3 linked regions of the Arabidopsis thaliana genome follow. The protein of the gene in region 2 interacts with the protein of the main gene of each other region in a pairwise test. Each region holds a gene or a part of one and is shown on either strand. Other genes may lie near its edges.

Region 1 (10,870 bases), on a different chromosome or scaffold from region 2:
CTATGGCATCAATAAATGAAACTGGGTGTGTCTTTGCAAATCCCTGTAAGGGAGAAAAGAACATGAGTGTTCTGATGTATCGACCATTTAGAAGCTGGGCCAGTAATAGTGAGGTAAGAGGATCATTACTTACACAACATTCATCAGAAATTACGGTCCAGGATAGGAAAATGAATGACTTGGTTACTTTTTGATTGATACATCCAGTGGACAATGAGATTTGAAGGTGAAGAGGTGAAAGTTGTTGCTAACGGTTCTGGTTGGGTTGCTGCAGTTACAAGCCTCAATTTGCTTCGTGTATTTAGCGAGGGCGGTTTACAGGTTTCTTCTTTGAACTTTATTCTTTATTATTTGTCATAATTCGAGCAAGCTGATAGGCTACAAAGGCAACTGATCATAGTTTACCATTTAGTTTTGTAATGGTTTTCTGCTTAACTTGCTGTTGTGTATTGTGCCTCTGTTTGTCTCTTTTTGGATTATTCTCAGATGAAAAGAATGCATATTTAGATATAGTCAGTGTATTTTGACATAATACAGATTTTGACTAACTTCAAATACTAGTGTGTAATATGTACCGTAGTATTGAAATACTTGGTTTATTTGATCTGATAAGTTATGGTCATTTCTTTCAGAAACATATTCTTTCTCTTGATGGGCCCGTAGTCACTGCAGTAGGATGCAAGGATCATCTAGCTGTGGTAACTCATGTTTCAGACTGTCTTCCTTCAAATGAACAGGTATGTATCATTTCTCATCGGGTTCTCTGCTTAGATCAACCTTGGAGTCACTTGGCATCCCCTTCATAGTAAATAGTGTGAAAGGACATTGTCAATCTTTGTTGATAACAATATGAAGCTTCTTTAACTCTATCTTATTGCTCCAACAAGGAAAAGTGATTCATAACATTGATGGAATTCTCGGCTCATTCTTGTTTCAAAAATATGCAGGTGATGGAATTTAGAGTCTTTAACATATCCAAAATGACTCAGGAGTTGAAAGGCCGTGTTGCCTTAACCCCTGGCTCACGTTTAACATGGATAGGATTCAGTGAAGAAGGTTCTTTGAGCTCATATGATTCTGAGGTGTGCTTTCTTGCATTTACGATCACTCATTTTGCTATTACACTGGTGCTCTTTGCATACAACACGCATTACAACAGAAAGGTTTCCTGCAGGGTGTGTTGAGGGTTTTTACAAGTCAATATGGTGGCTCATGGATCCCAGTTTTCAGGTATCTTGCCGTAGCTATTGACACTTTCCGAGAACTTTCTTTACGCATGTTTCTTCAAGGTGTTTTTACTCACTGAATTCATTGTAATTTTCAGTACCAGTAAAGAGAAGAAACAAGAAGAAAACTACTGGGTGGTTGGCTTGAATACAAGCAGTTTGTACTGTATAGCTTGCAAATACGCGGAGATGTTCCCACAGGTATATATTATCACTCTTGATATTAAGGTGTTTACTTATCTGGAAAATATTGGCTCACCACTATTCTTCCTGCCATTTCAGGTGACACCAAAACCAATCCTTACCATACTAGACCTTTCTCTCCCGCTTGCATCCTCAGATTTAGGAGCAGCATCTCTAGAAAATGAGTTAATACTAAAGCAGCTGCGTTTATACGAGGTTTTTCTCTCTCCTTATTACACCATTTTAATTTGCTGTTATTTCTCCTTTTCTGGTCAAGTTTTGTTAAGCAGTATATTGTGTCTCCAAAGTTCTTAACTACCAAAATATATGTGAAATAGTCTTAAGTTTGTTTTGGGTAAGCAACAGAGATGAATATATACCAGGAGATTTCGTGTTCTTGCTATAAGTAACAAAATCTGCTGAAACTAGTATCAATATCGATATATGAGACCATTTCCAATATATTATTTCCTCCTAATCTCAGACTCAACGAAAAGTGGACGATATGGCTTTGGTCGGGGTAGACACAACAGCACTTGAAGATGAAGCTTTTGACCTGGAAGTTTCTCAAGATAAATGCATACTAAGGCTCATCAGCTCGTGTTGTAGTAGTAAGTTAAATATATATCTGCTTGTGTTGTGTGTGAACTCATATTCTAAGACCATTACTGTCCAGATTTTTACAACAAGATTCTTTACATCTTTCAGGTGATAGTTTTGCAAGGGCCAGTGAACTTATGGAGCTTTTAACTCTAGAAAAATCAATGAGAGCTGCAATAACACTGGTTACCAAACTCAAGCTTCCTTTTTTGGCAGAGAAATTCAGCAGCATACTCGAGGTACTCTACAAGTACTTTCATTTCTTATATTTTGCACAAAAGAGAAGAAAAATTAGATACAGACGTAATGCTAATTTTTTGGTTCTTCACTAACAGGAAAGGTTGCTTGAAGAAGCTAGCGAGGCGGCGGTAACAAATCCTGCGCTGAATCCAAACGGAGAAGTAGTTACAAGAGTTGAATCCAAGGTCCAGAATCCTCCAGCTTCGATTCAGACTAGTGAAAACACAGAAGCAGTTATGAAATCTTCTGCAACTAAGCTATCTGCTCCTACACTTCTAAAGAAATCGAAAGTTTCAGAAGGTCTAAAGCTGGGAAAAGAACAAACAAAGAAAGACAAAAGTGACGATGCGAAGATAAAAGAGATAAAGAAATTGAATTTGAAGAATCCGGTGAACAATGTTAACAAGGAAGACAAGGGACAGGAAAAGGAAGTGAATCAAGGAGAAGCTCGACGTTCTTCAAACCCGTTCCTCAAATCAACTGTTTAATGATCTTATTTGGAGGTTTTGTTTTATTTAACAAGATTATGATGAATACATCTGTTTCACTTTATTAAATATTATGATGCTATAGCTGAATGATTACACAAACTTATGATACAGGATTAGTTTATATTACAATACAACAAGCTGTTAAAGAATCATCATCAAAGGCATGGTGAAACAGAAACTTGAACTGGAAAAATTCAGCAATCAGCCACCTGTTGAAGCTTTCTCGTTCTTCATGATCATATGGAAGGATTTGACTTTGTCTTCCTCCACGATTTCTCTAAGAACATCGTCCTCAATCTTCTCAGCTTGCCATTGAGATGGGTCCTCCACAAATTCTTCACTGAAAATCATACTGGAGACCCATTCTTTCCAGGTCGTCCTCCTGTATTTGTCTTCTTCAAGTGTTCCTCTCGACAAGAGCTGGTAAACGTACACCACTTTCTGCTGTCCCGGTCTGAATGCACGTGCGATTGCTTGCTTTGTCTTAGAAGGATTCCACTCTGAATCAAGCATGATCACCCGTGAAGCAGCGGTTAGACTGATGCCTTCTGCACAGGCTGTAATCGAAGCCAGCAGAACACGGGACTGGCCTCCTGGCTCTTCAAATTTGTCTATTACTCTGCCTCTTTCAAACAGCTCGAGATCCCCTGTCAAGGTCAGGAGCTCTCGGCCTCTCTTCCACCTGAATACATTCTCGAACAGCTCAAGAAACAGGCGGATCGGCGCAATGTTGTGACAAAATATGAGGATTTTCTCCCTCTTGACCACCCGGAACACAAGATTAAGCACAAACATGACTTTTGATCCTTTCTTTGCATCGTGCTTGAGCTTCTCAATCTCTAAAAGCTCCTGAGGGTTGAAGAATTTGGCGCAACAGGTTGTGGTTTTGACCAACCAAGGATGGATAGCAGCTAACGTTATGAGTAACTCGAGCTCGAGTGGATATCCATGGTAAGTTGACATTATGTTCTGAAGTTTGGTAAGACTCTTGTGCTGTACATCAGTGGAATTCATCAACAATGTGTAAATCTGCAAACCTGGGAGAACATCACCACTTCCGCTTCCACTCCCTTCATAGTTATCGATGAAACCACTCGTCATATTCCTCAACATGTTGAGACCCTGCAAGCGCTCATCGCCCACTTTTGTGTCAATCTTCTTGGCTATAATGTCAAGGAAGAACTTCCGAGCTCTATTTTCAAGCAAGTGAGGCGCCTTTTGCTCGGCTTGGTTGGTCTGGAACTTCTTGTCCAACTCCACTAGAACCTCATGAACAAACTTGGGTCTAGCCAAGCACAAAGTGTTGAAGTACTCACAGAAGTTGTTCTGAAACAATGTACCAGAAAGCAGAATCCTCAAGTCAGTATCAACTTTCATCAAGGCCTTTCGTAATCTCGACTTGGTACTCCTCGGGTTATGTCCCTCGTCTAGAACCAGTAATCCAGGAGACTCTCTCAGTACTTTAGCCATGTACTTTCTATGAGCAAACTTTGAATCTTCCCTCATCAAAGTTAGAAACGATGTGTAACCCATTACAAGAACACTCGGCTGTGCATGCCATTTCTGGATTTTGTCTAAACAGTCAAGAACATGCATAACATCTTGGCTTGGTTTTGGAATTCCCTCGAACTGAATGGTCTTCTCTTTGGACATACAGTAGGTTCTACGACCATGGAGCAAGTGAACAGGGACCGGAATCTCCCATTTGATGAACTCCTTGTACCAAGTGTACAAAGTTGTTTTTGGAGCAAGAACCAAAGGTCTTTTACCCGGAAATATCTTCAAGTAGCTCGCGAGAAAAGCTATGATTAGAAATGTTTTTCCTGCTCCGGGAGTATGAGAAACTACACACCCACCTATCTTATCTGAACTCGGATCCATCATCGCGGGAACCACTGACCCGGCTAGGTTCTTCCAGAGAAACTCAAAAGCTTTTTTCTGGTGCAAATGCAGTTTTCTCTTAAGCTGAGGTATTAAAGACCAGACATTGTCACTTTCTTCAGCCGATGGCATATCTGAGGAAGCAACTGGTATAGTGAAAGTATGGCTCTCAACTCCATCTTGGTTAACTATAGTAGTATTAATGTCATCTTCGTTGATTTGCTTAGTCTCCGTCGTCCATTTCTTGTGCCGCGCCTATCGAAAACCATACCACCAAAATATATTACAAGTAACTCATCGAAAGTAGGTGACAAAATGTTGTCTGGTATAGAGTTTCCACTTACAAAAGGTGCAGAAACATGTTTTATCTCAGTTCCTACATGACCACACAATCTGCAACACATTCCGATTTCTTCATTCAATTCATAGTCATGTTCACAATCACAGGTTGCTTTATGGAACGCCTCGTTATCCACTCTCACCTGAAACTTCAAATCAAACTATTAAACATATAAAAATGTAAGCTCATGGTCATCAAGAATGTTTTCAGGAAAATATAAAAAGATTTCCAAAAGGTATATATATATATAACCTCATGGTCATCAAGAATGTAAGAAGAAGCCAAGCATAGTTCCATTTCCCTCCATAGAATCTCATTCTCTGAAGTCTCGCCATCATCCTCCTCCTCCTCACTCAACCTTTCTTCGGCTTCGATCGAAAAGCTTGCGGGGTTCTTTAACCCTTGCCACTGCTCAACAACATTGGTTGCTTTGTCCTTGGCTGCAATTGTAGAATCAATTCTACTCATGTACGAGTCTATCAACTTGTTATACGCACCTGCGCTCAACGTTCTCTTCTTATAAATCTGCGGTTCCTCAGAAACTCCGGTTTCCCTAGAAACGGACCTTATTCGAGAATGCGGTCCATTTCTTTTATGAACCACATTCCCAATAGGTCCATTCCAACCTAGATCAGATTCCATCTCTTCCATTTCAATCTTCTTCTTCTTCTTCTTCCCGTATTTCGCTGCTTTACTACGATACTTATCGATCTCATCCATCAAATTTCCAGAGACACCACCACACAAACTATTTGCATTGAGACCAAACTGTTCCAACGGTATAGGTTCAAAGACAGGAGTGAAAGGAATAACCGAAAGCTCACAACTTCGACTAAATCCCTCTGTTTTCTTTCTCTTCTTCCTCTCAGTTTTGTCTACCAAAACTATCTCTCTCTGCTTATCCTTACTAAATCCCTTTTTGCTTCCTTTCTTTCTAAGTAAATGCGATAACGGTAAGTATAAATCATCATCAGTATCTTTATCATCCTCGCAATCTTCTTCTTCATCATCATCATCACTTGAAACATTCCATATGTTGTACCTATATGGCATCATCCTTACCCATCCATCCTTCGAATCCGGCTGAATCTCAGAGTCTCCGTATCTCTCAGGCCGCCCGCTTCTTCTCTTGGACCGACGCAGCTCCATTACCTCCTCTTCAATCTCCTCCTTTACATCACTATCTTGACAAGTATCCTCAGCTGGATTGAACAAAACAACCTTAGACATGACAACACCGTCTTCAACCGTAATGTTCATTGCACTCAAAGAGCTACTAGAGCCTTCGCAATCTTCATCCGTCACAATCTGATAAACCATCTTCTCGTGAACGGTTCTAATCTGAAACACAATGTTTTTCAAAACTGATGTAACAAGCAACCATGTAAGATCAGGCAAGAACTTCCCTAAGTTTAGTCTTGTTTTCACCAACGAAGAACAGTCCTCAGAGTATCTCCATCTATAGTAACGGTCCAAGCTTTGTTCCTTGCAAAACTTTTGAAGGATGGCGATTTCGTTGAGTCCCACGAGTACCGGAACTTTATTCATTCTATGCTTCTCCAAACCAATGCAGCCTTGGTCTATATAAACACTGACATGGAACGTACACAAGCATTCAGATTCATGAGGCTTCCTCTCTATAGATAAAACCCTTGCATCCACCCAAACCTACACCACCACACACACACACACACACAAAACGTTTCAAAACAGCAAAAATGCGCATAGATTTAAAGACTTTCATATTGAAGAAAGTGAATGTACTGGTTCTGGAGTCTCTTCATCTCTCTGATAAAGAACGCAAACATCGATACCGGGTCTTAAAAAAGAAGTACAGTCGATCAAAGTCGCCTTTCTTGATCTAATTCGAAGCCTCTGAAATGGTTTTATATCATCCAAAACTTGTCCATTTTCTAAGAGACGCATTGTCATCGTTCCATTCTCGATCCTTAAGTACTCCACGGCCTTCCATGTCCCCCAGCAGAACACCTCGAAAGCTACCACAACAGACAAAACAGAGCATTTTAGGTAAAGAAACAGCAGTCATTCAAATCTCAATGCATGACATTTTAGGTAAGAAAATAAAACATCAGATCTTGTAAAACACTTACGACATGGATTAAATGGATGGTTAAACTCAAAGTAATGCTTTCTCTTCATTTTTTTCTTTCCCTTCAAGATCACTTGTGGATCCACATATGATCTCCTGTAACCAATACATGTATAGCTTCATTAGGATTCATTCACCACTTGACAAATAAAAAAAAGATTCAAACTTTATCTGCAACTAGAGACAACCCAGAACATATATGATATATGAACTTTAAAACTTGATCATATTGGTTAATGTGCGAAAGCAACATTATTGTACTAAAAAGGTGTAAAACAGAGTAACAGTGTCGTATCAAAATGAAAAACGAAACATGATCGTCATCAACAACAAACAAAACCCAGATTGAAAAAACCACAACTTTATGATCAGAACACAAAATCAATATATCACCTTTGAGGGAAAAAGAGAGTTGATTCTAGTCCATGATTGACACTAAGAGGAAAATAAGAGAAGGAACAAAATATGATAAATAGAAAAGGGACGGCGAAGAATTCAATACCACACTCACGCAGAATCTTGGGGACAGTGTAGAACTTTTTATTTTCCCTTTTTGCATGAATTTGCGCAGAATCGATAAAAAGTGATAGAGAGAAATAAAGAGAGACTGAAAAATAAAGTGAGAGAAGAGGAGGGTTTAAGGAGTGAGGGTATTATTGTCATTTCCATGTACGTACTTCTTTATATGGGAAATAAACGGCTGCGATTTGGTCTGTCTTTACTATCTTTAGATTTTACTGACACAAAGAGTAAAAGCCAAGTTGTGTGCATGGTGGCCTATTGGGTCCACATTGAGATAGGTTTATAGGGAAAATATCTTACACAAATTCATGAACTTAACATTTAGTTTGCACAAAACAAAAACATTTACTTAGTTTGTTTTTTAATTATTATACTAAAATTAGTAAAAGATGAGTTTTTAATATGGTTTTGATATCAAAAAAGAAACTTTTATTTTTATTTCAAGATTCTAAAAGAAAATATCATTTAATATTTTAAAAAGTAGTTAAGGGTAACGGTGAATTGCTGTATTTTCTTTACTCCATTTCTAATTTTTTTTCTCTTTAGTTTTTTATTTTTCTGTTTAATATGTTGGAAGATCAAATATCTAGTTTTCTTTAGTAGATTTCTCTATTTTTGTTTATATTATTTTTCTATTTTATTTCTGACTCTTTTTTTAATTGTTGTATCCCTTACAAAGTTAATGCAAAACTGTTTTTTTTTCCATTAAATCAAACAAACACTAAAATATATAACATTTGGAAATGTAAATGATAGAGTTATTGTAAATCGTTGGATATGTAATGCTTTTGAACAAGGTCTATGTGAGCTTTATCTTATGCATAAAATATGAGTTGTTACCAGAATCTGCCTTAGTCACAAGCTAGGGAAGCATGTGTTTACGGTATAAGATATAGTTATTAATTAACCGTCATCTATTTTCCAAATATCTCTTATAACTATACTGGTTAATCGTTGGGTGATAGAACAATAGGTAGTAGGTTCAACTCTTACACTTACAAAAATGTTTTTTTTTTGATATGATTAGGCCTTTTTTGCTGGTGGCACTCAAAATGTTTTGGGTGGCTATGAATGTTCCATGATTTGATATGGATAGTAAAATATATAATGTTTAATAGAAAACTTTACTTAAATATCTTTTTCTCTTTTTAGCTTTAGCAACAGCTCTCACTAGAATCGAAAAGAAAATTATAAAATTTAGAGAATATATAGAAACTAACCTAAGACTCGAAAAGAATCAACGAAATAACCTTTGACTAAATGGACACTATTTGCTATATGTTTTTTTAAGGGTTTTTGGTTCATCTTATCCTTTTATTATCTTCTTCTTTTTTTTTCTTGTTTGTCTGCAACATTATAGTCATTCTCTCTCTAGATATCTTTTTCTTTTACTGAATCTCATCACCACCACATTCCTTTTTTCCTATCTTCCTCTCGTTGGATATGTGATTCCATCAATTCTCTCTTTCTTTCTTCCTAGAAGCTATCTTTCTTATCCCTCGTATATTTTGTGTTTCTCCTCTCACCGGATTTTCTCCATCACTCGTCAGTGTGACATATAAGATTATATATGATTTTATAAACGCATGTATTTCAAGGACAAAACATGCTATTATCATTGATTTATAAATTTTGTCATGCTATCCAACAATCTCTCTCTCTCTCTCTCTCTCTCTCTCTCTCTCTCTCTCTCTCTCTCTCTCTCTCTCTCTCTCTCATCTCACCAACATTCCTCACTACCATCGAATTCTACGATCAAGTCTCTAGATCAAGAAAACAACTAATTTTTTTTGTTGGTAGGACAAAAAAACAGCTAATTGGCGACAACATAAGAAGTCACTAATCAGTCGCAAAACCCCTACTTGCGACTTATTTGCGACTAAAACACGTATTTCCTAAACAACGAGTGTTAAAATAATCACTCGCATAACAAACTAATGTGCAACCGATTTAAGTGGTCACTATTTAGTCGCAATGTCGTCGCTAAGTATAGCGACTGTTATGCGACATCTTTGCCACAACATCACAATTGTTTTGTGAACGTTTTGGTGATTGAATTGCTACTACTTTGTGATTGATTAGAGGTTTAATTCTTGATTTAGCCTTCAATTAATTCTTGATAAATTGATTATAATTCTAATTTATTATCAACAGACTTGTTAACACATAAGAAATGTGTATTTAAAACAGATCCAACAAACCACACATTCTTGTTCAATTCAAAACCAAACAACCTATATGTTCAAAACAAAACAAAAATTCTTATTCAAACCAACACACGTTTTCAAATTCAGAGAAGGATGGAAAAGGTACCTATGTTTGGACATCAGCAGTAGCGGGATCAATAGATTGAGACTCGAGGAAGGCGAGAATGTTTGGGTCGGTTGCGCTCAAGTACTTCACGATCATCAAGTGCTCAGCTGCAATTTGCAAAGCCTCTTCTTCACGCTCTGCTTGTAAAGTTTCTTGTTCCTTCATTTTGCAGTTAGCTTCCTTAAGCTGTGTTTGCAGGCTTGTGAAAGAAGAAGAGCTTTTCGGGTACTTCCGCTTCTCGTTGGTGTAATTTCCTACTCTTCTAACTTTAGAATATTCTCCTATGTCGTTTGTGACAGTAGAGTGCATAAACAAAACAAAGAATATTAGTTCTTAACAGTTTTTCAAAACAATAATATAAGAAAAAGCAAACATAAAGAAGCACACTACTTGAAAAAGATTTTGTCATCCTCTTCTTAAGATAGCTCTGATCGACGCGAAGTACCATCGGAAGACTCGTCATTCTCAAGGAAAACCAACTTAGCTGCCTTTTTCTTTTTATTTAATGAACTTCTTGTAATATGACCCATGAAACTTTTTGTAAAAACCTTTGTAATCATCCGGTAAGCTTTAACTTGTTCTTATCATACCTACAAACACAAAATAAAAAAATGCATGCAATTAGAAACATACAATAAAAGAACAATGAATGTAATCTTGGTAACCACTACAAGCTAAATGGAAAATTAGACAATAAAAGAGCATTTTCAAAGATTGAAAAAATCACAATTTTAAGACTACAAAGGTTCAATCAAACTACAAACGATCTTGAAACATAAATTTTAATCGTACACATATTCAAACTTTAACCACAATCTATAAGATTCAATCAAAACATAATTAATGAGATTTAATCGAACCACATTTTAAGTTAAGACAAAGATTCCTACACAATCTATCTTCTTAATTCCTATACAGAGATTTCTTGATAATCTATATAACCTATCTTCCTAGTTCCTACACA
Region 2 (10,755 bases):
TTTTAGGTTTTGACAAAGGTATAAGAGAATCACTGCAATAGAAACGCTATTATTTTCTCAAAATAAATTATTGTAGTATAATATTATTATTTATAAAGATTAAAGTATAAAAGAACAATTTACCCAATTATAACAAGGCATGTGTTAAGGTACGTTTTTATGGTCTCTCAGTTGAGAAAGGTTTCTCAAACTCACTCATAATTTAGTATCTATTTTTATTTTTTTATTGGTCATAACCCTTGTTAGAACTTGTGGATGAGATGCTCTTAAGTGAAAATGAAATTTACAAAACATAGAAAGTGAAAGTGAAAGTGAAAACTAGCCACAAAAGTGGAAAACATGAAGATAAACATAGAGGTATAAAAATAGAATAACCTTATTTTATTCATTAAGTTTTCAAACAAAATATTCAAAATTGTTTTAATGGTATTAATAGAAAAAATAGAATGTGTGGATTTTAAGATTTTGTTAGATTTTTTTTCTTATCTAATATTTGTTGAAATTAATAATATTTGGATTCTCACATCCTTATCCCTTATCCTTGATTCTTCCTATATAAGATCACAAGTGCATGACTATTTTTTTACACCACAAAGAAACATAAAGCAAATATAACTGAGAGATAATTATGAGTGATGGTCATGGCATGAAAGAAGGTGAGAATTGCATCGTGAATCAAAACCTCCACAAGTTGGATATCTTGATTTTCTGATCAACGCAATTCTTACTTTCTTTCTTGCTCCTATCATCACTGAGTATTTTAATCATAAATCATGTAAGGTTGAATATTTTTGACATTGAGGTCAATTTGTTAGTTTACATGAACATTTCCTAATAATCAATGACAACCATATCAAAAATCAAAATCCTAAAATCGGTTTTCTGACCTTTTGGTTTCACGATCCAAGCAAGCTTCCCAACTTTTTTTTGCAATAACCTTAGTATTTTTTTTTCTCTTACTATTGAGTTTTTTCCGATGTATTATGGTTTTCGAGTTCTCTATAATCTTATTAGTATATAGCTTTTGATGTTTTTTGTTCACAAAGATTACATAATGCCCTTTCTCTAATTTTCGGGTCCAAGTTCACTAATGTAGGCAATCCTATTTGACTAAGATTCTGGTAATCCTTTTGCTCTATCGACGAGGCATATTGATTAAGAGGCATCACATTATTATTAAAAGTGGTAGTTTTGTGCTTGTTTCAGGTGAAACTTGTATTTGTGATGTTCATTGCCTCATAAAAGGAAGCACCAACATTAAATTTTGAGTTGATGATATCCGAAAGTAATGTAGCGTCTAAGAATCATCTATAACAAATAATTGTATTGGTAAAAAAAACTAAAATATATCAAAAACAATGATCAACGTCCCAAACAGAAGTATCATTTGTTCTTGTTTTGTTTATTTATTAAGTATATAATTACTTATTTAACATGGAAGGGATAATTGCAAGTGCGACTAAGTACTCAATTTCTTTCTTATTTAGTGCTAAAAAGTAAACAAATATTGGAAAAGTTTCAATTTTTGTTATCCTAAAGATGCATTTCATCTTCATTTGACACCAAAATCGTTATGATTGTTTAGACGTGCTTCTCTCGATTTACGATTTACAAACGATCAAACATAAATGATATTATAGCTAATTATTCCATTGTGAAGAATTGGTATTCTGTCACATGCCCTACTATTAACTATTTTTAGGAGTGCTCAACAATTGTCCACCGTATGTAATTAAAAAGGACATGAATCAACAATTGTCTTTCTCGCACAATAATACCAATGTAAAAGCTATACCTAAATCATACCAAAAATCAGTAAAAATCGAGGTATATCAGATGTGGCACATATTAATCAAACTCACAACTCTCTTTCGTATCGGTATTCGTTTATGCCACTTGCTTTGCTTTCTCATTTCTTTATCTCCTCTCAATGTTAGCCTTAATACTATGTAATCGTCAACTACGACATATTGAAAACAAAACCAAACCAACACACAATAGTTGAACTTGAGAATATATTAATTCACCAAAACCTTGCACGATTATTATAGTTATTCGCATAAATGACTAAAACTATTATATGTGAAGCAATTTACCCATACACCAAACCCTTCTTACTATCCTAAGCATTCTCCTTCAAACGCATATGTGACCCTCTCCATATGTAGTTCGTTCTTGGGCTAATTTGTTCATTGGTATGGTAATCTTTTCCAACGTCTAATCTTCTTCCATGCCGTTAACACCCTCAATCTTTGAAAGCTCATTATCCTTTTTCTCCTCCTCTGCCTTGACACATATTACAAGCACTAAGCACAAGCACCTATCAAAAATGTAGAAATATGGTTCGCTAATTAAATCCAAACTCACAAATTATTTTTTCCTAGTGAGATAGAAAGCTCTTCAGAAGAACCATAACATGTAGAAATAAATACTACTAATAAAAAGAAGCTCATTGAGGCCACATCAACAAATAAGAGGATTTTAAAATCATGACACATCAACAAATTTAAAATTATGACTTAATTGTGTCTTAGAACTTAAATAACAAACTAAATAATAAATGATGTATCTAATAAATGGAATATATGTTACATCCTGCTCTCTATTCTGTTGGGTTGTTGCTGGTTGAGCCTTCGGTTTCGTTCTTCTTCGGGATCTCCTGTCCTTTGGAGTTTGCATGCTTGGTTGGTTCTTCTTGTGGCTCATGTTTCTTGGTTTCGGCCCGACGCCAACTGTTACTTTGGGATTGGTTGCAGGTTTTGATGTTTTGAGTTTCAGATTTAGATCTTAAGTTTCTTTTAAGCTTACCTTCTTGTACTTTTATGCTTATAGTTTGCTTCCCTCTTTTGGGCTTAGGTTTCCGGGGATATTGATGTATTCCGCCGGCTTAGTTCCCGACAGAGTTCGTCTCTTGTCGTCGTTGTACTTCAAAAATGCATTCTACTTTCGTATAATATAATGAAATCATTCAGTCGGAAAAAAAAAATGGAATATATGTTAAGGTATGAAGTGTACCTATTTACTATTTTCATCTTCCAAGAATTTCACTAATATTATCAAATCCATAAGCTGACATCAAACTGCTAGAGATATAGCACAATCGGTTTCTCATGGACTAATAGAATTAGTGTCAACGCCAGCACTCCATTTATCTAATTTTGCATCAACAATATCTTTGTCAACTGTACCAATAAATCATCTGGTAATTTACCAATTTAATCTCCCATTTTGATAATTTTCACATTCAAAATTACAAAATGACACATAATATAAAGTCACAAGTCTTGTTAATATATCATATATAATTTTGACACATATACAAGCGACGTTATAGTCCTTTAACTAGCAATTCTACTACACCAAGTGTTATATAGGGCAATCAAATGGATACAAGTCCACTTGTTTTCTCTTCAACGCTCTGTCTCTGTGCATTTTCAGCCTTTATATCAAGCAAAACGTCACCTACGATCCATGGGAAACTCAAGAATGTCAACTTCTCATCGCGATGGTTTGGATTGTATGTTACATAGTACCACGCCGATGCTAGCTTCTTCTTCTGTTGTTCGTCCTCGCAGCTTTTCTCGAACCATCCCATGGCCTCTTTATGCAAATCTTTCACGGAAAGCGTAATTCTATCCTTCATATCACCATACCTCCGGTTATCTCTCGCCAGATACATCTCCTTGGTTTTCAAAATGCCTGTGAGAATCTCCTCTTCGTTAGCAGCTCCATAGTATATCATCAACGAGGTCAGTTTCTCACCATACATGTCTCTATGGGCTTTCGCTGTCTCTATAAAGCTCTCAAAGCCAGCTTCTTCAAGTGTCACATCATAAGCTACCGTGTCCTCGCTCTCAGCTTCTGGCTTTCTCTGTGCTAGAGAGCTCTTCACAGCACGGTATAGTTTCCCAAACACAGACTCAGAGATGTATGTTGGTTTCTCAAACCGTTCCAGAAAATCAGGGAACTCTCTGGGCTTTAAGGCATAAGGCATCTCAGCTGGAGCTCCAGTTTTTGCAAAATCAACAGCCCTAGAGTGAAGATTTGCTAACTCTAGACACTTCTGGCTCCGGGCTTTTTCAGGGTCACGGTCTGCGTGAACCAAATGTGCAGTTGAGATCACCCCAAGCGTGTCGCTTATCATATAATCCACAAAAAATTTGTGGATTTCCTACAAAGCAGAGTGAAAGAAAGAGAATCAGCTTAGCTCCAAAGATTAGGAAACTTTCACATCATGAAAGCCTTTTCAAGAAACAAACCTCTAACGTGACGTCATGATCCATTAGACGAGGCCTGCTTCCAGCATAGTCCATTGGAGGGTCCATTTCGCTAGGTATAATCTTCTCATCCCAGCTAACAAAAAACTGGTCTCCGTCGAGATCGCCACCAGAACATTCATTTGGATGTGGTCTGTGGAGTCAACAAAAACCAAGGAGAAACAAACCATCAACTAAGTTGGGACTAAGAATCAGAAGCATATGGTTTATCTTATGGTGCATAACTCTAAAGGATTGATTTATTGTACCTTTCTCCCTTCTGAGGAAAGATGATGCAGTCGAGATATCCCTTTTCTTCGAAATGGACCTCATATATAGCATCAAGAACTCTAATATCTCCAGGGTGAAGACATGGGTTTTTCGTCACGACCACTTTCCCAATAACCACAGATGTTTCCTCATCAATCTTGCGAAAGTAGCTCTGATCGCGAGATTTCAGTTCCGCTTTAGTCAGGGTTACACGAACATACACTTGGCCATACTCCAGGATACCCATTTCATCCATGCAACCGATCAAGATCCGTCCTTTCGGTACAAGTATCCTGCATCTGCTCTTTAGTTCAGAAAGCTGGCTCTCGTGGTGCACACGAAGCATCATTGAGAGGTAAGGTTCTGAACTCGGTGCATATCCTTGAAGCAGCATCTTAACTAGCAAATTCTTGGAATTTTCTCCGCTCAATTTCTGCAGAACATTAAGTGCTGCATCGCGGTCTTCAAGCATATTCCCAAGCATAGATAAATGCACCGCTTGCATCGCCTCAAACATTGCATCTTCTATTCCAAGGGTCGACAAAAGGCAAATGATCTCCCGGTTTAAGAAGCAAGGCATCGACTCTGTCCACCTGGTAACGTTCAGCATCCTGTTGTTCGAGTCAAATTTAAGCATACTATCACGCAGAGACAACTTTCGGAAGGAACTGCGGTCAACAGCAATCACACCTTTGTAGCCACCGTATCGAATTTGAAAGGCAGAAGGGACATGACTCAATCCACACTTCTGTGCAACTTGCTTGGCAAATGCAAGTGAAATTTTCCCAATGCCATCCGAGAAGCAGTAATCAGCACCATCAGTTGTCACTTCGATGTCGGGAATCTGCTCCACATCTTGTGCACGGACAATAAGTGTTTGCCGCGAAGCACTGAACAACTGACCCATCCTAGCAGCACATTTGGAAATGCTTCGGATTTTACGGAAACAACCCATCCATTCTCTTATATCTTCCGCTTTTACTTTCTCGTTAGAAGCAAACATCCAGACCGAATTTCCTCGCAGTTGGCTCGCTGAAAAAGCCAAGAACTCAAACCTCTTAGGCCCAACGGTAATCCCTTCTCCAAGGATTGACAACACCCTGTTATAAATGTTGGTTCTAGAGGGCTTCACAAAATAGCCTTCCTTGGAGTTCACAGAGAGAGCATTTGCGGGAAGCTTGCTCCAATCTTCTTCCACAAAAGTAACTCTCATGAAATCCGAGACATGCTCTGCAAAGTTCTTCACAACATAATTTGCAGTCTCAAGCTCTGGACCCAACAGATAGATCTTTGAGGGTGTAACGTAAGCTCTCTGACAACTCATGATGTTCTGCTCGGTCAATCTTTTATAAGCTGATGCAGGGGAATGCTTCATCTTCTTAACCACAGATTGCATCTGAGTCTTGACAAAGAAGACAGGATCATAACATATAGAACTTTGCTGGTGAAGTTTCTTGAGGATCACCAATGCGGTTTCCAAACTCATACCACGAAGGATTTTGATCAGTTCCATATCTGACGCAGCAAAAAGACTGATTTTCTGCGCATGAACAAGCGCATTGAGTTGGAAAAGGATCTCATATGGAAACTCTAACCCCAAAATGGCGGCATTCAAGAGGGGAACAATTTGAGCTGCAGAAGCAAAGGTCTTCCCATCCACATAAGTTAGACTCAAAGTGTCTTCTCGGTAGTAAGGTAAGCCCGAGAAAATGTCTAACATCGTTGAGCCATTGTGGACTTCCAAACAAAAGCAAGTTGATGTACCAATTGATTTCGAACCAGAGAAATCAGTTGTCCGAATCCACATGAAATCAAAATCCTCCTTGCAGAATCTGTACCGATCAGACTTAAACTTTGTGGCTATGTGAACTGTTACTCTTTTAAATACCTTCGGTCCATATTTCAGCTGCAACATAAAACAACATGTAAGCTAAAAGAAATCAGAAGAGACCAAGATAAAACACAAGCATACAAATCAATCCAATCTCAATCTCATGCACGTTCATCAAACCATAAAGCTGTCACAGAGGATTCAAAGAACCAATACATGCATAAACATATGACTAACCAAAAAACTCAATCTTGAATCATTTTCACAGAACCTGAACTCCTAAATAAACTCAACACAGACTCACATTGTCGCAAAACACATTAGGACTAACAAATTTACCTTGAGAAGAAATGCATCAATCTCAGAAGCGTCACCATTAACACAACAACTAAGAGTTTCAATAATATCCTCAAACCTAACTTCAATCTTATAACAATCACCACTTTCCCAAACCCAAAACTCAACTCTTCTCTTCTCAGTCAAAATCCAACACCTCACACCATCCCATTTTTCTAGGGCACAAAACCTTTTTTCATCAGACTCAGGAAACCCAACAGTCAAAACGATGTCGTCTAGCCTTTTCCTTGGATCTACAGGACGAGGGATGATATCATCATAAGCTTCAGAGAGTCTTAGGTTATGGGTTTTGAAAAGGAGCTTGCTTTGAGAAGAGAGAAGCTGGGCTCGAGATTTGACTTCGAGGGTAGTGAATTGTACTCGAGCGAAGTCTCTTGGCTTCCAATTGTCACGAGTTGTTGGGATTTCGAGTGCGAATACAGTATCTTCGCCGAGGTGGAGTTCTAAGAACCGGAGGAGTTCGTCGGCGACTATGGTTTGAGGAACGTTTGAGATTTTAACCGTTGATCGGTTCGTCGTCGTCTCTGACACCATGATTAACCCAAGAGAAAGAGAGACGGGGACAGTGTGAAGAGTAAATGATTCTCGAGAGAATCAGAAGTTTTTGCTTTTTCAGAAAGTTTGCGTTTTTCGAAAATCAAAAGGTAGAAGAAGAGTGCTTAGTGTTTATTGAGTGTTTTGTGGTGTACTGTAACTCAATACAGATGTATGATATCAACCGTAAGATTAGTTCTCGTTGATCTTGATCGTTGATTGTGGATAATATAAAGTTGACCGGTTTTGTCTATGAATTATATTAAACCGTCAATTTCGACCGTTGGTAACCGGAGGAGCCAAGAACTCACTATCTGCTTATTCAAATACTTGAGTACCTTAAAATCAAACACATAAGTGAAGGTTTTTGTATAATGATCTTAGTAGGAGTAGGAGAACACAAACATGTTTTTTTTTTCTGGTCATAGCTTCCTAGGCACAATCACTCTTATTGCCATATTGTGTGAGAAACAAAATCATGAGAAAGATTCTATAATCTCAAGAAGGCGTTGAAGCCATGAACTCTAAAGGAACCAAAGAAGGAAAGAGTTCTGTAAATCTAAAACCATGTCGTTGATTCTTTGTCTTCAAGCAGTTTGAGCAACTGGTTCATCAGATGCTTCAAGCCTTCAAAAAAAACAAAATTCATAAGCGACTAATCTTACAACAATGATAAGCCGTACTGGACATACGGGTGACGGTTAGTTTACCTTTCGATTCCTTCCCCAACCTCGACTCTAAGAAAATCGGTAACCTTCACTGGAGAACCTACCTCCTTGGACAAATTATCCACCAGTGTCTGTGGAATAGGAGCCCAAGAGTTGAATTCAACAAGCGATGCAGAGGTAATAAAACGGTAAACTAGGTGTTTTAAGCTAAGACCCACATACCTTAATGTTTATAGCATCGTTCACAATAAACTTTTGCTCCATTAGAGCAACTTCTTCAAAATACTTACGGAGACGCCCTTCCACAATCTTCTCTATCGCCATCTGATTCTTGCCTGTACTTTCTGCCTGTCATATACAACATTTGATAAGCAAACTTTTCTAACGCAGGTTGTGTACTTTTTACAAATTACAGTTCAATTTCATAACATAAAGTGACACTAACCTGAGACTTTAGAATCTCGCGTTCATTTGCCATTGCTTCAGAAGAAACAAGGTCTTTGCTTAAAAACAAAGGCTTTGCTGCTACAACATGCATAGCCAGTTCTGAGCCTACACGCTGAATAGCCTCTAGTTGAGTATTTTCACCTTCTACTTCGAGAGATACAATCCCAGCTATACGACCCAACCCTATTCTCATTTTTTTTTTTAAAGTTAGAAATGCACAGAAATATCATAAAAAAAGAGATTAGAAACAATGGGAAGTATATTGAACAAATTGTACCTGGTTGAGGACTTGTGTGAAGATATGCAGAAAGGACGCCTGCTGAAGATTTTGACATCAAGAAACCTCTCCTAAATTTTACATTCTCTCCCATGATTGCAGCTACTTCTGTAACAGCGTTTGAAACCGTTGTTTCACCATTAACTTTTGGATGATCGAGGTTAAGCTTGAACTCCTGATAGCATCCATTAGAGTGATTAGAAATGAAAAGTTGATATCAATATCTCAGACAGTGCAAAGGAAACAACATAAATCCATAAATTTAAATAACAAAAAAGGAAACAAGCGAGTACATAAAAAACTGACCTCAAAAAGCTCCGGCCCAAAGGGGAAGACACCAGAAACTTGCTGCGAACTACTCTCAACCAGCAAAGCATGTTTTGCCATAGCTAAAGCCTGCAAGACATGTCAATTTTAGAAGACAAGGAACAGTAAAATAAACAAAAAGCCCATCATTCAGCAACAACCAATGTGAAATTGCTATGGGACTAACCAAGTACTGGAAAATCTCATTCCTAGCAACAAAATCAGTCTCACAGTTAAGTTCAATAACAGCAACTTTCCCTTCATTTTGAGCAACGGCAAGCATTCCTTCTGCAGCAGTCCGTGACGACTTTTTCGAAGCCAAAACTTTCCCTCTCTTTCTCAAATCCTTCTGAGCAGCCTCTGTGTCAAATCCAAAAAAACCCACTTCAAAACACAACAAAACATACACAACCTTCACCAAAACAAAAAACCTAAACCAAATTCTTACCAAGATCCCAATTGCATTCAACTAAAGAAGCCTTAACATCTTTAATAGGAGCACTAGTTCTTTCCCTAAGTTGCTTAATAAGACTCATTTGGTCAGATACAGCAGGAGGAGCTTCCGAACTAAAACTCCGTATGAAATTCCCAAAACCACGAACAAGGCTTGTGTAACCAGACGGTACAGAGCTTTTGTACTGAGACAAAGTTTCGAATTTGCTTGCCACAGTAGAATACTCATTTCCAGAACTAAATCTACTACTAACACTATAATAAAAGACTCCAATTGGTCTTCTCACTGCTCTAGCAAACGCCATTTTCTTATATGTTAATCAGTTCTCTGCATCCAAAAACAAAAATCCTCAATTTGATAAGTATAAAATTCCTTCCTTTAGATCATCAAGAAACAAATTCTGAACTTGAGATAATCAAACGCAAGTCTTAACTAATTAAACCCTAAAAGAAGAGATTAACTTGACTAGAAATAGATCGACGTGAAACGAGATCGAAATAGCTTGGGAATGGAGCTTACCCGGCGATGAAAGTTGTTTGGTTACTGTGATAACGACGGTGATGGTTTTTGTAAAATACGACTGAAATTGGAAAAGGGTTTAAGTTTATAAGTATGGGCCCATTGATGGCCCATTAAGAGTTCGATAAAATAGTTGTTTTTGCAGAAACTTTTAGTTTAGGGTTTATGATAATGGAGAAAAAGCTTCCCCTACCAATTTGACGACAAGAAGCTGTGAATCTTCTCAATTGTGTTTCGGAATCGAAATTCGATCAAGAGAAATGTCTAATTCTACTGCAATCTCTCTGAGAATGTGTTCTATCTAAGGTTTGTTCTTTTCTTTTTCCAACATTTCCTCAATTGGAGTTTTTGAACAATTGTTTTTCCATATGGCATGCTTCACTAGTTCACTATGAATTCTTCTTTGTGATTCTTAAGTCTTTCTCATAGATGTAAGACAGCTTGATCTTAGATTGAGCAAGGCCTTGATTCATCTTCTGTTGTTGTTTGTCTCAGAAAGTAAAAAAGTTTTCAGTACCAAGTGAAGAAGACCATAAACAAGTTGGAGCAGCTTGATTGAGCAAGAAACCTTGATAACGTTATTACGCTGATTCAGTCCTAAGCTATGTACAATGATAAAGCATTTCAAAGATTACTTTTGTGAACATTCAACAAAAAACGATGCATTTAAAGTTTTTAAAAAGAAAAACGAAGATTTTTCTTTTCTTGGTGGAGGAGATTCATCCGTAGAACTAAAAAGCTCATTTCAACTATATATACATCAGAGTATGCTCTTTTACCTTAGAACTATCGGAGCAAATTTACATATCACAAAGAGGAATCTTATTGTAAGAGCC
Region 3 (8,258 bases), on a different chromosome or scaffold from region 2:
TATCGTTGGAGGAGACAATGAAAGGGATACTGGGCCGTGTTTAGCTGGAAAAGGCATTGAGAAGTTGGCTGAATCGAAACAGGCCGGAGATTTGGTGGTGGCTGGCGAAGGAGAAGAAGGGAAGAGCTGCGTTGATGGTTTGAAGGATCTAGATGTTGAAGGTATTGAGAGAAGCAGTGAGAAGAAGGATCAGAGTGATGAAGATGAAGAAGAGGAGATGAAACCGATCTTGGTTGAAGGATTTGTCTGAGAGTCCTCACATTGTCAGAAGTGTTCTTCCCTCGTGTATATAAATAAAAAGTATTAGACTTTTACAGCTTACAAATCCGTTTGCGTTGCTTCTGTTGATTGTGCGGTGCTTAAATGTCTGAACTTTGTCTCCATTGGCAATGGTGGCAAAGCTTATGTATCGCCTGTAAGACACAAAACTGGATGAAATAGGATTTGGGCCAATAAAGTAGCTTCTCTCTTGCGATTTGCTTTTTCTGCGCCTATTTCACGAACCGTTGATTCTCTTTTTGCTATTCAGTTTCAAATGCAAGAAGAAAGCAGGGCGAAATGCTATCGTTGGCAAGTAGTAGCCATGTCTCTATTAGGTCTTGCAGAATCAAATCCCAAATTGAATTGTATAGTTTGTTGTTACTTGTTAGTGACTGCTCAGCTCTCCTTCTGTCAAACGAATTCATATACAGATTAAACATTTGGTGTTAGTAGCTTTTGTGTAATTCATATACAGAACACTGAAAAGAGAAAGATTGGCTTCTCTCTGTTGTTGAGTTTGCTCTTTAGCAGAAAGGCAAAGATTGTGCAATTTAGAAGTTATGATATGTCTGGATGAATGTAAATAACTAAATATTACACTGCAATTCTTCTTGTCTAACATGTCATGCTTTATTATGTCATGCTTTATTGGTCATCACAGATAATGCCCACTTGCCTAGTTCCATAATATCAGAATTGAGGCTGCCTTCATAGCAAAATGATTTAGAAAGACAGTGAGTCATCAATGATCGGCACCATGGGGCTCTGCCCCCTCTAGCCTTTATTCACCCATGACTCCAGACCCCAAGTAAAATAAACGGGTGATGAAGAAGAAGAGCAGACCCATCACCAACACTAATTCAGCTAATAGTATGAGTATTCAGTGTGGTGCTTTTGTTTCACCCTCACTTTCTCCTATTGTAGAATGTGTTTTTTTCTTTTAATTGTTTCTGTAACATTGTTCCTTCCTGACGCTATTCTATGTTTCATTGTTTTGGTTCATCTCATATTTCTCTTCTCAATTTGTTTTGGTCATTTGGACTCCAAAGAGTGTTGGTCTTCTCTTAGTGAGTTTTATGCAGTTACTGATAGAATATAGTTCTATCAGTTACAAGGCCCATGTTTATTACAATTTCAAACAAATTATATATTTGAAGGGCCCATGTTTATTATGCCCACGAGCACTGTATACGCGCGAAACGTCTTCGGACACACTCTCAGTCGCACGCTCTTTCACGCGCCTTTTCGATTTCACATTCGGATCCGATTTGTTCACCCGCCGAAGATCCACCGGCATCTTCTCTAAACGGCTCTGTCGAGAAGGATCGGCGCTATTATTGCTGGAGGACGATTGGGTGTTTACTTTTTACTAGTAAACGGAGTAATTTCCCAAGCGAAAGGTTTCATTTTTGAGCTCCACGTTGAACGAACTAAGCGGTTTCTCGGAGTTCTCTTGCTTCCTCTCCACCCAGGTTCTCCCTTCATAACTTAATTTACGTTCCTTACGTTTTGGGTCTCTGAGCCTCTGTTGCCCACAAAGTGTTCGACGAAATGCCTGTGTGAAAACTCACAATACTCATATCATGAAATTGTCAGCGCAATGGAGAAAACAGACGAAGAGAGGAAGAAGGCTCAGATGCTGGACGCTCGGGCCAGAAACATTAGCCACAATGTTCGCTGCACTGAGTGTGGAAGTCAGTCCATTGAAGACTCGCAGGCAGATATCGCTATTCTCCTTAGACAGGTGTGTCCTTTACTCCGTTTTTTCTTCCAAAGATTAAGTTGAAGATAGTTTTGCTGTCTACTCTTCTAATACACCTGAGTTTTGTAGCTGATCCGTAATGAGATAGGAGCTGGAAAAACTGACAAAGAGATCTACAGTAAGCTGGAGGATGAATTTGGGGAGACAGTGCTTTATGCCCCAAAATTTGATTTGCAGACCGCAGCCTTGTGGCTCACACCGGTCAGTTTAAGCTGTCAATAACAACTGAAACCTCCATGGGGACGGAGGTTTAATGGACTCTTGTTTTTGGTGTGTGACAGGTTATAATTGCTGGAGGTACCGCTGCAGGAATAGTTTACCAGAAGCACAGGCTAAGGAAAAATGTAGACATCATGGCGTTGAACCTTATTAGAGGTGTACCATTGACTCCAAAAGAGAGAGTTACCATTCTTGATGTTCTTATTCCACCTTCCCCTCCTCCTCAGGGAGTTGTTTCCCGATTGAGGAGATGGCTCAACCGGTAGTTCCCGTGTCTCCTTAGCTCTCTTGTTCTTGGCTCGAATCTTGTTGTGTTAACAAGTAAACAATGTGTTGAAAAGAGTGAGTACACATTGATTGTCTTGGAGAAACAGATAGGGACTGCTTTGCATCCATTACAAGCAAATGGATTCTTCTGTAGAAGATCTTGGGATGAGATATGTATCGAGAAAGCATTATTGAAAGTGTGATACTTGTTGTACCTTTGCTGTGTGATTGAATACAGAGAGCGGGTCGATAGTTATATTACTTTCGGCACAAAGATTTATTTCTTTCCAAATAGTTTTTGTGCTAAATGAGCTTTTTTCCACATCTTTATCTTAATAAGCCGAAGCTCACAAAATGTATTGACCTGCGTATTGTATATACAAGAAGCAATGAGTAAACAGAAAGAAATAGTCTTGCTCACAAGAATGAGACTGTATGTTGAACATTACATAGGGTGTTAACTGGTTAAGCATTTGGGTATTATTACATTGTACCATCACCATTCCCTTTACAATTCTAAGCTTTTGCACTTTATTCCACATAGTTGACAGAAAAAAACTAACATAGAATCCTAGGGCCGGTAGGTACTTAGTAGTGGAAGTCTATACATGAGCATGTTATTCCATTTTTGGGTCAGTCATATACTATATAGTCATAGTTTACTGCATCTTCCAAATATGACTTCAAAACCAAAAAAAATTACTCTTCAGGGCGGCGGCAAATTCTTTCTAGTCCCAGCGATTCCTGAACATACACTTAACACAAAACTTCGTCAATAGTTCCCACACCCAACAAAAAGGCTGAGATCAATCTTCTTACCTCTGTATTGTCAAGCTCGTAGCGAACAAGAAACACGCAGTTACATCTCGCGTGATCATGAATCCCTCTCTTGATATTCAAAACATGACCATCACAGTAGAGTGCTTGATCCTCTCTTTCCTGCTCATTAACCACCCCAACTTTCATTTTTAAGTTCAAATTTCTTTTGTTAAATGTTCCATCCTTCATAATTAGATCAAAGTCAGCCTTACTTGGAAACATAGAAGCAGGTCTCCAACGTTCACTCTCCCACACTCTGATGGTTCTACAGGAATAGACCGCTCACGCACTGATGTTTTGACGTTTACCCACTCATCGTGTCGGTTGTCGAACCCAGAAAACCGTACACGCACTTCCTGTTGCAGACACTCTTAGTTGCAAACAAATCATCCATTAAACAAAAGAGAAAAAGCTTACCAGTTCACCAGTGCGAAGAACTCTATAAGTAAGGAACGAAGACACGTCATACCTGAAAGACCAGAATTCCAGCAAATAAGCACAGATATAAAACACAAACGTATATTACAAGTCCAAAAATTAGGCTTTATATGAATAACGTTCTTTCTTAAGTTCACACTGAATAGGTAAGGGCATTCCTCGTTGAGTTAACAATCAACAGAGAGTTCACATTTCAGGTTCTTACTTAGGCCACTTAACAAAGTCATATGCTAGCAGTAGTCCAAGAGTTAAAGCAAAAATAGAAACATGATATTCAATGCAAGGAAACGTTCTTACCACGCGTAGTCCCGCGCTGATTTAGCCTCAAAAGCCAGATCAGCTAAATCAGAGGCCTTGCCTGTGTATGAAAATGTTCATAGGCGTTATAAGGCGTTAACTAAAAGAATCAAATATGGCACACAAGAAAAGGAAAACCTTTTCGTGTTTGAACAAAGGTAGAATTCCCAACAAAGGTAGCATTTGAGGCATTTGAAGCATAAGAACTGGGATTAGATAAGTCATGAATCTGCAAAGGGGGAGATGGCAAAGTTTTGGATTTTGGTTGGCTTTGATGCTTCAGCTTCTCCTGGAACCAAATCTGTACCTGAAAACATTTTGATTCAAAAAAAAAAGTTATTTCTACTCTATTTGCATTTTTTACCAGTTAGCTCTATGAAGAAAAAAGAGACGCACCTGTTTCCAGGTTATAGAGGATTTGCCATTCCGATTCACAGAACAACTATAAGAGAAAATGGAAGAAGACATAAAGATTTTTTAGATACTGTGCATGAAAATCAATAATCCTACTATTCCTATAAATCCACAAAATGCTTGTGTCTCGATTCTCTAACAAACACATTCACATGATCAAATTCTCGTAAAATTCAGAATAAAGTACCTAAAAGTAGAGGCAACAGTTTGACAGAAATCTTTGTGGAGAGATTGGTCACCGAGCTCCTTATACAGATTCTCCATGTCTACAATCTTCGAATAAGAAGAGCAATAAGATCACAAAGCATGAATCTCTAATCTAAGAAAACGAATGATAGAAAGCATAGATAACCTCAGACAAGGTAAACTCGGTGAAATAGTGAGAGGAATCATCGGAAGCAGCCATTATCGAGCGCACAAGGAAGAAGAAGAAGAAGTGAAAAGGATCTTGAGCTAATTTGCTACTACACTGATGCCTTCAGAGTTCAGTGAGCTTTAGTGGGTTAATGGGCCTAAAATGGATAATAATAATATAAATGGGCTTAAACTCACTAATTTATTACCCATATGCTTGTTTTTTGGACCGTCTATTATTTTATTTTAACCACACTCATATAACTGTACTATTATTTAATATTTATAAATGACTTTGAAACAATCGAGACAGGATGAGGGAACCCGTCCGCGGGGAATCTTCCAAGTCATATGAGCTGGTGGTGCGTGGTGGAGTGTTTATTAATATTCATGATTACTGACATTATTAATCAAATACTATCATAGCATGTATAAGTATATAATTTAATCACAGCTAATCCTCACTAAGGCTCTACCTTCTTTTGTTGGCGACAACCCAGGCCCTTATTTCTCCAATACAAGATTCGTTACTAAACATATCAAATATACATTATTGTAATTAGTTAGTTAATTACACGTGCTTTAAAGCATTTTAAACGCACAAATTTGAAAATGATGGCAAAGGCCCTGATTGATTTTGACCGAGACACAAACACGCAAACATAGAAAATTTAATCAGGGATTTGTACTCGGTTACATAGCTGTCATTCTGTGTTACGTATTAATTACGGTATTTAACTAATCACGCACGCAGTAGATATACTATAACTTTACTTGATTAACAAAGCTAATAGCATCCATAAATTGGGGTCAAGATGTTTGAACTCATAACGAGTTACTTTGACATTTGTAGATTGTGTGTAGTTGGTACGAGGTCTACTAGTAAGTCATAACCAAATATAACTAATCGTAGTAGACTAATTCAATTTCTTACATAAGTCCCAAATTTTCTATACCTGTTCTGCACTAATCACTCCTCTCATTCTTATCACCATTGGTCCATTGCCATCTCTTGAATCCGTCAATCTTTTATTAATTTAAAAAGGCCACCTGCTCTATTGTTGACAATAGAAGGTGAGGAAAAACAAAACCAATCAAGCCAAAAAAAGACAACCTGTCTACATCATTAAGCACCAACCTTATACAAACGTATAAATCGAATTTTTAACTCGTGTATGATTGACTAGGCATCCTTCATTTTCCACATGGGCCATCCTGTTAAAAGATGTTTCATTATTGCATGGATTACTATAATAATCACAAGAATTTAAAAGGCACAATCAAGTGGTGCTTTTCTTTATAGTTTTCATTGGAGATTGTGATAAAATAACAGAGAGCACCAGAGGGGGAGCTTGCACTCGTCATTGTCCCTTACTCTTTTCTCTCTCAATGCTGCAGAGGCACTGACAAACACACCATCTTTGCTTATCTCTTTCTCTGTTTTCTTCAACGAAATTTACATATCATCCGTTTCTTCTACTCACATATGGATCCTATCAGTCTAATAGTCTAAAAGAAAGAAGAAGAAGCACTTAACTTAATAGAAACAGGATCAAGATTCATAAGATCTAAAGATGGATTACGATCCAGCTCATGCTATGAGCAGAGGTGGGAGTATGCGGCAAACCATAAGTCGTAGTGTAAGCAAAGCAAGCAGAAACATGGAAGACATATTCAATACAAGCTCTAGACGAACCAAATCTGTCAACGAAGACGAAGAAGCTCTCAAATGGGCTTCCATCGAGAAACTCCCTACCTACAACCGTCTCCGCACAAGTCTCATGCCTGAATTAGGCGAAGACGACGTCTACGGTAACCAAATCCTCAACAAAGCAGTTGACGTCACGAAGCTTGACGGCGAAGAACGTCAGAAGTTCATCGACATGGTCTTCAAAGTCGCAGAGCAGGACAACGAACGGATCTTGACAAAGCTAAGAAACAGAATCGACAGAGTTGGGATCCAACTTCCGACAGTAGAAGTGAGGTACGACCACTTGACTGTGAAAGCTGACTGTTACACCGGTGATAGATCTCTTCCTTCGCTTCTTAACGCGGTGAGAAACATGGGAGAAGCTGCTCTAGGCATGATCGGAATTAGGCTTGCCAAGAAAGCACAACTTACTATTCTCAAAGATGTTTCTGGTATCGTCAAACCTTCAAGGATGACACTTTTGTTGGGTCCTCCGTCTTCCGGGAAGACCACGCTTTTGTTGGCTCTTGCCGGTAAACTCGACAAGTCTCTTGACGTCTCTGGGGAGGTAACCTATAATGGTTATCGCCTCAATGAGTTTGTTCCCATTAAAACATCTGCTTACATTAGTCAGAACGATCTTCATGTTGGTATCATGACTGTTAAGGAGACTCTTGATTTCTCTGCTAGGTGTCAAGGAGTTGGTACCCGTTACGGTATAATCTTAGACTTTTTGTCAAACTAACTATCGATTTTGTTTTTGTTGGTCGATTGAGTAATCTTACTTGTTATTGATGCAGATCTTTTAAATGAGTTGGCAAGAAGAGAAAAGGACGCTGGGATTTTTCCAGAAGCTGATGTTGATTTGTTCATGAAGGCCTCTGCTGCTCAAGGCGTCAAGAGTAGTCTTATCACTGATTATACTCTCAAAGTGAGTCCCTCTCAACCTTAAATACATAATTGTCTTGATTAAACGATTATATAGTGTTCATATGTTGAGATAGATGTTATTGTTCTATGAAACAGATTCTAGGGCTTGACATTTGCAAGGACACTATAGTTGGAGATGACATGATGAGAGGTATTTCAGGAGGTCAGAAGAAGCGTGTGACAACTGGTGAGATGATCGTTGGACCTACTAAGACTCTGTTCATGGATGAGATATCCACCGGACTTGACAGCTCCACGACTTTCCAAATCGTGAAATGCTTGCAACAGATTGTTCACCTCACAGAAGCCACAGTTCTTATATCTCTTCTCCAGCCTGCTCCTGAGACGTTTGATCTATTCGATGATATAATCTTATTGTCGGAGGGACAGATTGTGTACCAGGGACCTAGAGACCATATTCTAGAGTTCTTTGAGAGCTTTGGGTTCAAGTGCCCTGAAAGAAAAGGAACAGCTGATTTCTTGCAAGAGGTAAATATATATATTAGACCGTTAGACCTAACTTGGTATTAATATTTGACCCGAAAGTGACTTACAAATTACATTTACGTGTGGAACAGGTTACCTCAAAGAAAGATCAAGAACAGTATTGGGTTGATCCAAACAGACCCTATAGATACATTCCAGTGTCGGAGTTTGCCAGCAGCTTTAAGAAATTCCATGTTGGATCTAAACTATCTAACGAGCTATCAGTACCGTACGACAAGTCTAAAAGCCACAAAGCAGCTCTAATGTTTGACAAATACTCAATCAAGAAAACAGAGCTTCTGAAAAGCTGTTGGGACAAAG

The links.
Region 1: the proteins of RDR2 (region 2) and CHR38 interact in a two-hybrid assay, tested with the Arabidopsis thaliana proteins (one study listed by BioGRID).
Region 3: the proteins of RDR2 (region 2) and SHH1 interact in a two-hybrid assay, tested with the Arabidopsis thaliana proteins (one study listed by BioGRID).

The regions. Positions count from the first base shown.
Region 1 is NC_003074.8:14,752,965-14,763,834, forward strand, and holds CHR38 (chromatin remodeling 38), read right to left. Parts: upstream 7,122-10,870; coding exon 7,073-7,121; intron 6,959-7,072; coding exon 6,726-6,958; intron 6,630-6,725; coding exon 5,214-6,629; intron 5,110-5,213; coding exon 4,966-5,109; intron 4,877-4,965; coding exon 2,942-4,876; 3' UTR 2,834-2,941; downstream 1-2,833. Other genes in the region: AT3G42660 (transducin family protein / WD-40 repeat family protein), read left to right, coding at 1-113, 208-321, 633-737, 948-1,082, 1,175-1,230, 1,325-1,427, 1,509-1,625, 1,894-2,020 and 2 more. UniProt on the Arabidopsis thaliana protein: Probable chromatin remodeling factor. Required for the initial establishment of DNA methylation and for accumulation of 24-nt siRNAs.
Region 2 is NC_003075.7:6,777,015-6,787,769, reverse strand, and holds RDR2 (RNA-dependent RNA polymerase 2), read right to left. Parts: upstream 7,322-10,755; 5' UTR 7,249-7,321; coding exon 6,697-7,248; intron 6,433-6,696; coding exon 4,526-6,432; intron 4,411-4,525; coding exon 4,260-4,410; intron 4,172-4,259; coding exon 3,380-4,171; 3' UTR 3,138-3,379; downstream 1-3,137. Other genes in the region: AT4G11120 (translation elongation factor Ts (EF-Ts)), read right to left, coding at 7,836-7,875, 7,959-8,047, 8,139-8,264, 8,362-8,546, 8,641-8,815, 8,947-9,036, 9,134-9,306, 9,395-9,704. UniProt on the Arabidopsis thaliana protein: RNA-dependent direct polymerase involved in the production of small interfering RNAs (siRNAs). Binds to single-stranded RNA (ssRNA); engages ssRNAs longer than 7 nucleotides and initiates internal to their 3' ends.
Region 3 is NC_003070.9:5,234,721-5,242,978, reverse strand, and holds SHH1 (SAWADEE HOMEODOMAIN protein), read right to left. Parts: upstream 4,936-8,258; 5' UTR 4,884-4,935; coding exon 4,830-4,883; intron 4,751-4,829; coding exon 4,665-4,750; intron 4,506-4,664; coding exon 4,460-4,505; intron 4,371-4,459; coding exon 4,202-4,370; intron 4,125-4,201; coding exon 4,064-4,124; intron 3,798-4,063; coding exon 3,746-3,797; coding exon of another isoform or gene 3,722-3,745; intron 3,685-3,721; coding exon 3,541-3,684; intron 3,449-3,540; coding exon 3,266-3,448; downstream 1-3,265. Other genes in the region: AT1G15230 (uncharacterized protein), read left to right, coding at 1-250; CCMH (cytochrome c biogenesis protein family), read left to right, coding at 1,862-2,005, 2,093-2,224, 2,305-2,508; ABCG35 (pleiotropic drug resistance 7), read left to right, coding at 6,406-7,237, 7,322-7,452, 7,548-7,940, 8,030-8,258. UniProt on the Arabidopsis thaliana protein: Involved in RNA-directed DNA methylation (RdDM). Required for the silencing of some endogenous RdDM targets and accumulation of 24-nt siRNAs, but not for the production of Pol V-dependent transcripts.